Linked DNA regions of Arabidopsis thaliana. The protein of the gene in region 2 interacts with the protein of the main gene of each other region in a pairwise test. Each region holds a gene or a part of one and is shown on either strand. Other genes may lie near its edges. The genes, in order: BASL and AT2G14510.

Region 1 (3,933 bases), on a different chromosome or scaffold from region 2:
GGGCCTATATGTTATTTTATTTATTTTAGACCCTCTAGTTTTAATTGTAAAATCTTTCAAGTAATCGGGAAATTAAAGTTGATTGTAAAATAAGTTTAAGTTTAACGACTATAATAAGTTCTTTTCTTTTTATAATCGTTAAATATAATGCCAGATTTACTGCCCAAAATTGTGTAAAATATTTAAATATGTATAGTACTAAATTAGTTACAAGGTGAAGAAAGAGCAGAAAGTTTTAGAAGGGAAACTCAAAATCTAACTTGAAATTTGAGGTAATTTTAGTATTCTATTACTTTGAATATTTTGAAATTTGCATAAGTTTCAAAATTTAAAAGATTCACCTCTTGTTTTATGGAAAAAGCAAGAGTAGTGTATGTTGAAGCTGTGATACTTACTTGTAGTCACTTCTATCTTTTGAGTTTTGATACTAATTTACACTAATTTTTCTTGACATACATTCAAATTTCAGAACAGATATATAGATATGTGTAACCATCAAGACATGAGGATACTGATGATTTCATCTGAATTCGTGTCTTATCAAGATTGTAGATTCTATGTCCTTTAAGAGTGTTTCTTTACTCTGAAGTCAGAAACAGAGTAAAACAAAAGAATTGGATAAACTTGTAGGATGTTATCTTTTTCAGAATCTACAACATTGGAACCCTAAAGCAACTGGCTTTTGTTTCTTGGGAGACAAGTCATCTGATTCAGGCATCTTAGCAGGACTCCCCATCCACTCTACTCCTAATCTGCATTAATTTTCAATCCCAAATTGTACAAATTATCAGAAACATTTATTTCCAAACAAAAAATGTTATAAACTCTTTTGTTGTTATTGAAACTCACATGGGAAATGCAAAAGATCCCCTTCCTTCATCTGAGTGACTAGACCCGCTAGATTTATCAGAGGCATCAATGTCTTCTTCTTCTTTGGTTCTCTGCGACAGTCAAAGACCAATATATAAATAAGAATGTTAAATTCTCAAATACTTTGAAGTTGAAAGATGTTACGAAGCATTACTTCTGTAACATCACTAGAGACATCTTTAGTTCCTTGACATGAAGTGTTATCGTTCTGATCTTGTTCTGTCCCTTTAGTCTCCGGCGAGTTATTCTTCTCTGTTCCTCCTACTCCTTGGTCTCCATATATAAGCTGTTCTTGAAAATAAAAGCATTAAGAACTTTGTAGTTTGCTATGTTTCAAACTAAAAAGGTCAAAACTTTTTAAAACAATTTTGATTTTCGGACAACGAACCTTACGATTCACCGTCCTCGGTGACTTTTCCGAGGACGATTCCGTCTCTTTCTTCTCTTGTTTACCCTCTTTAACCACATCGAAACCACCATCTTCGCGATCGAAGCAGAAGACAATGAATCCAGATTCTTCTGAGACAGGGGGCTGAGGCCAGCTCAAGCGCCGGTGCTGAGACCCCGACGTCGTCGGAGAAACGCTACTGCTTCTTAGATGAAGATGATGATGACGTGTACCTGGTGGGCTTAGGCTGAGTTTCCTCTCTGATCTCTTCTTCTTAGTACTTTTAATCTTCCTCTTAATCCTTTTGAACGTTAGATTATTGTTGTTCGTAGTGTTTCCATTATTATTAGCTCCATCTTCATCTCCGTCTGATACATATAATCGGTAAAATAACTTAACAATGATTGAAAAAAGTAATGAAATTAGGAAGAAGAGAATAGAAGAAGACCTAGAGGAATCTTGCAAGCCAAGAAACAAGAAGCCCAATCTCTGACTCTCCAAGTGACAAGTTTTGGTATTGTCCACTGTGAAGCCATGGCTGTTATGTTTGTGTTTCTTTGTCACGAGAAATAGCTTTTTTTTATGAGTGTGAGTGTTTTGGCTTTTTCAAGAAATGTTTTCAGAAGGGAGATAAAGAATTTATTATGAGGGAGAAGAATGATTTGAAATTTGAAAAAAAAAATGGAGACAAGAAATAGATTGCCATGAATTAGGGAAGGGGGGTTACAATGTGCAACACATGAATGCATTTAATATTATTGGAATAAAAGGAAATAACATTTTTATTCTGGAATTGTAATAATTGGGCAGTAAATGCTATCATAGTTATTAAACACTGCTATATGAAATTCAATTTTTTTTTTCATTTTCCATTTTCATCTTTCAATTTACTAATTCAATTTTCGTGTGTCAAGCAGACGGCATAGCCAATGGAACGTTGGCTAGAGACATGGATGTCATTTATGGTGGCAAAAGAGTTTTTGAAATGAGTTTTTATTTATTTATTATTTTAAATGAAAATTATAACCAAGGAATCTTCATGAGCCCATATATATATATATGAAGCCCATTATCAGATTATCTGATTAAAAGAGTAGTAAGACTAAGATCCACTTGATGTACACCTTTTGCTTGTGCCTAATCGTCAACGATCCGATAGTTGTCAGTGTGGTCACCAAGTAAGTTGCAAGCAATTGAGTCCTAATATGTGCAGCTACAAGGACATTGAGGTCTACCCTCGCTACAACCCTCAAAAGTTCTGTTTTCTATGTGTCCATGCGATTTGTTAGAGATTTATGATTGGGGGCATGTTAATTGCTAATACGTTGTTTCATGTTTGATAAATTCAATATATTTGGTTAAAACTTAATCAGAAACCGTTATTTGTTTTTGAATTCAACTCTATATAACATGAACTTCTCCTTCTTTTGAATATCTTTTTTTAACAGAAAAAATTCACCTTCTTCGTTGCGTTTGTTTACTAGATTGAGCACATACTCTTCTTCTTTTTTTCTATTCCTTTTTTGGGGGGGGGGGGGCAAAAGACCACATATACTCAACAACATGAAATGCATGGGCGTATAAAATAGAAGGGTCCACTATAAAGCACATGATTCACGACCAAACATGATTTGTTGTAAAGTGTGGCTTTGCATAATCGAGTACTATATATACACCAAACACTAAATAAGAAAATGTGTTAAATCTTTCGCTTCATTTGTTTACCATTTTATGCTAGCTGCCAAATATCATCTAACTACCTCCACTCTGTTTCTTTTTTGGAGTATCGCATACATACATATTCTATAATTTATAGACATATAAGCTGAGACATGTGTCCTCATTAATTTATGGAATTTCTTAAAGGTCCCTCTTTCATAAAACTACAGTTCCTTATTAGAAAAGATGTAAAGAAAATCTTTCAAGAGATCTAATTTTATATGAATGATCTGCTGGATGGCCTACGACAGACTCGTTTTTCGAATCTCATTATGTAAAGAGTCTCCTGTAGTAGTTTACTGGTCTGGCCTTCTTGAGTGATGAAAGACTATCATCTCATGTGGCTTTAGGATGATCAAATTCCATCAACTACAGATTTTCATTGTTTGGTCCATCTTAAATTACAATAGATATCTGATTTTCTACAATTTTCTGAGCTTTGTTGGATTTCGATTCAAATTCTATGAAAATGACCCAAATCTTTATATAATTCAAAATATAAAGTGATTGTGAAGATCATGGCCGGTGGGCATAAAAACAAAAACGAGCAGAAATTCATCAATGAAAACTGAACATAATTTTATGATAACCTGGACGGTACATAAAGTTTTATATCAAATAAACCTAACCAAACTCGAATAAACCTCAATTTATATAAAATTTAAATTTAGTTTATAAATGTATATAATTATGCTAAAAATGTATTTAATATTTACTAAAATTAAGTAATTATTCTTATTTTTAATATCTCTTTTAGATTACCGGTGCATGGGTCATATATACTCATATGTGCGATTGTGGACCTCGTGGTTGAGTGTGAAGAGACGTGAAAAGGAAACCATGTGGCCATGTGGGGGGGGGGGGGTCATACGACCACAATAGGCGTGTATTACCCACACCAAAAAAAAAAAAAAAATTGCTCTAAACCCCAAATTATATGGTGAAATTAAAGTTTC
Region 2 (3,933 bases):
TTTCCTTTTAATTCAAATTATGTAGATACGTACAATTCTCGAAGCATAGTTAGGTTCTGTATGCTAGGCGATATAACTCCAGTTAATCCACTCAAAGACAAATCTCTATTTGCATGACATATCAAAGATACATTTGTCATATAATTTGATAACAATATGTACAATATAAATTTTCTTACAATGAGATGATTCTTGGTGGTGTGGAGATATCTATAACGTTGCAGCTTACACCCATCCATGAAAACTGTTTAGGTACACATGGATCGCCCTGCCAGCTGATTCTACTCAATTGATAAGTTGATTGAATTTTCTTGATAGCAATGACTGGCAAACAAAAGAATCAAGCATAAAATATGCCGTATTTTATTACTACTTTATTCTTTTGAATAACTAAGAGGTTCTGAGCCTAAGCACGTACATCCTCTTAAGCCGTAGACTAAAGCATTTAATATGGTTGTCTCCCAAGTGCCAACTTATTACGTTTTATATATGTGCATAAAACTACACGGCTACATACCTTCATCCGTATTTGTGTCCGATTGTGGAAATTGTATGACGCTAAAAATCTCTATAGCATTCATTAGTGGTGGTAGAGTCGACTTCGGTGTTTTTGACAGCTGCACACGACATACCCCTCCCTCGCATTTTAGTGGTGCAGGGTTGGATAAGGTTCTTGCTTCAAACTTCCATGGAGTATAATCAATGTAATCAACACCATTCGCCAAAATTTTGAATTCCCTAGTTTCATTGACCTTTAATTGTTGGATCTCAGCAAAGAAAAGGTAAGCATAAGTTTCGTCATCAGAGGATTCCAAATTCCATGTAAAGGTCAATGGCTCGCTGCCATTAGTGGGTATGGAGGCGGTCTGAATTACACCTTGTGGCGGATTGTAGCCATCCGAAAAGCCACTTACATTCCGGGTTGTGTTTATTTGAGTCCATTCCGGTTGTGAATATGGCATCCAAACACGATCATAGACATCTTCGGGATAACTGCGACACTCAAGTATCAAGTTTATGTCAATGAGCAAAAAAAAAAAACACATGGTACTAAATATAAAGTATTCTGTTATGTTGTTGACATACCGTATTGCCTCGTCTGAATTGGTGAAGTAGAAGTGCGCCATACTCTTTAAGGAACCGGTTCGAGCAGTATAAGTATCATATCGCAAAGGTCTTAGTTCTATGGCTGATATCATTGGTGTACTTGTCCCTGTTTTGACGAGACATATGTCCAAGATGTTAGACCTTGTGACGTGAACGATCTCCTCGACAACTCCATCACCTACATCCGCTATTAGCACATCTACGCTTGTCCAAATATTTGGACCGAGAAAGAGGTCAAATCGCGGAGAAGTATTAAGACCGTCATAGTTTCCATAATAGAAAAGAGTCCTGATTAGATACTTTGTGCCTTGCTTCACACTCAAACTGTAGCAGTTTCTAATTCCATCCGGAAAGTATCTCAAAACCTTGAATGGCTTAAAGATAAAGTTTGTACGTGAGTTATTTTGGATATTACCAGTTTTTCCTCCTCGGATGAAATTGACATCTGATATGAATGTTAAATTACTCGATGGTTCGATATAAGATTCTTTAGACGGTAATCCGCAATCCAAACTGATGAATCCTGGTCAAACAATAAGTAACAATCGGAACAAGATTTCTTTTGTTTGAGATAATTCATATATCAAAAACATGAAGGAAACAAAATGAAAAAGTGTAAAACAGTAAAAATACCTTGTTGATTTTGAGACTTAACAAGAGACATAATGGAGAAAGTGGCACAAGCGAGTAGCATAAACTTGTTACGAGTCTCCATTCTTGATTCTGTTCTACTTCTCATTTCTCAACCAAACAAAAACTCAAACACACCAAAAAGTCTTAACACATTATATTATGAGAACTTAAAGTACAAAGTTGACAATGTCAACATATGGACACGTCACTTCCAAATAGAAAATGAGCTAAATTAATATCAGTGGCTGAAAATAATAACAGTCTAAAATAATATGTTTAAAACCTAGTTGTTGTCATGGAAGTGTAATAAATTAATATTAGTTTGGAAAGTTTAATACGAAGAAATTAGAAGTGCTTTGATATTTGATAATTTGGTTTAGGTTCAATATATACAAAAAAAAAAAAACATTCATAATTGATAAACACAATATTTTGTCCCATTAGACGGTTAGAAAATAAGATATTTATGTTAATTAATTACTTATCAAAGTTCACTATATATTGTATAATTAGACTTTATATATTTTCAGTTTTTTTTAAAACGTAAAAATATATTTTCTATTAAAATAATAGATTTTATAGCTTTCAAATTCTTTCTTAAAATGAAAAAGTATATTTGCTGCTTATGTTTTCAAATACTTTTTTAAGCAGTAAACATACATGCATGATTATATTAGGTTCGTGGTCCAACCCTGTATGTATGTTTGCTGCTTTCAAAAACAATTTTTCTTTCTTTGTTGTTAAACAAATAACAAATTTTCATGTACAAAATATTTTGTTGGGAGTATAATGAAATTACACATTACATCAAAACTTTTTAAAATCTCAACGAAAAAACATTTACATACTACAACCAACACTTTTATATAATTTTGACGTGACACACTTATAAGATTTTATACTCCCACTTCGAAAAAGTCTTACCATAAGATCCCATCAAATTTATTCTACTTGGCTGAGACGATTAGTTCAACATTGGACGTGCCTTATTTTTATTGGTACATGCATGTTGATATTTCCGATTAGGATCCATCTCCAACAATACAACTATATAATTAAAATTTAGTCTTCTATTATTTATCTGTTTTCTATATATCCATAAGTTTGATTATTATTTGATTTTTTCTCAAAGGGATATTTATTCATAAACCAATCTTACAAACCGGGTGAACCGGATAACCTAGTAAACCGGTACCCACAACCCCTTCAGCGAAATATGCAAACAGAAGCTGACACAATTTCCAGCGAGTGAACAACCGGAAACATCTCCGGATTATGAAAACAGACAGCTATTAAACCGAAAAAGATAAAGGATTCAATTTAATCTTCAAATTCTTTCTCTTCTCATCACTGGATCTTTTCCGAAAACAAAAGCATGAAAGAAGTCGTCGACAAACAATCAACGACGAGGTGAAGCTTCTGATCTCTTGTCATCACTTGCTAATAAGAATAGACTTTGGAAATTGATACCTTGACTTCTTGGAATGGCAAGACGGACCTCAAATGAGGTGATTGAAACCGTCAAAAACGCCGGACCGTTTCAACTATAACGGTTGGAAGGAGCCAAGCAACCCATAATTCGCCCAGATCTGAATTTTGATTCATGTGGATGAGACTAAAACAGTCGCCCAATCGAAACACCAAAACACTTACCTGATTGTGGATGGTGGTGGGACAGATCGAGAATAGACCATGAAACTTTCTAGTTAGAAAAGAAGAAAAAACTGATATCAAATTGTTTCGCAAATCAATTCGGTGAAACAAACACAACGGCAACAGAATAGCCATGAGAACCGCCGGATACACCTGATGGCGAGATAGGACAGCGAGATGGATCGACAAAACCGGATCACATCCGGATTCATAAGCCGGTAAAGCGTACCGGACGGCTAAATCTCGATCAAAATCTCTCTCTCTCTGAAAAGTTTAGAGAGAGAAGAGAGAGAGAAGAGAGAGAGAAGAGAGAGAGAGAGGTGTTTTTAAAGTGGGACTTGATATATCCCTATTTTCACTGATTTCATCTATGTTTTAGGTATAGGATTTTGAGTCTTTATGTTATTTCTCGAGTCTTTTTAGTGTCTTTTCAGGTATTCTATGCAGTGGGACGATAATGGAGATAAGGAGACATTTTGGAGCAAAAGATAAGAAAAAGGAAGTTAAAGACGATTTTGAGTTCCAGTTTCAGAGGAGTGT

Evidence for each region.
Region 1: the proteins of AT2G14510 (region 2) and BASL interact in a protein complementation assay, tested with the Arabidopsis thaliana proteins (one large-scale study listed by BioGRID).

The regions. Positions count from the first base shown.
Region 1 is NC_003076.8:24,487,910-24,491,842, forward strand, and holds BASL (breaking of asymmetry in the stomatal lineage), read right to left. Parts: upstream 1,928-3,933; 5' UTR 1,795-1,927; coding exon 1,707-1,794; intron 1,627-1,706; coding exon 1,259-1,626; intron 1,157-1,258; coding exon 1,025-1,156; coding exon of another isoform or gene 986-1,024; exon of another isoform or gene 942-985; coding exon 850-941; intron 753-849; coding exon 644-752; 3' UTR 380-643; downstream 1-379. UniProt on the Arabidopsis thaliana protein: Regulates asymmetric cell division (ACD), especially in stomatal-lineage cells, probably by modulating accumulation and subcellular polarization of POLAR and SPCH.
Region 2 is NC_003071.7:6,173,231-6,177,163, forward strand, and holds the start of AT2G14510 (Leucine-rich repeat protein kinase family protein), read right to left. Parts: upstream 1,866-3,933; 5' UTR 1,847-1,865; coding exon 1,741-1,846; intron 1,631-1,740; coding exon 1,087-1,630; intron 994-1,086; coding exon 518-993; intron 325-517; coding exon 180-324; intron 106-179; coding exon 34-105; intron 1-33.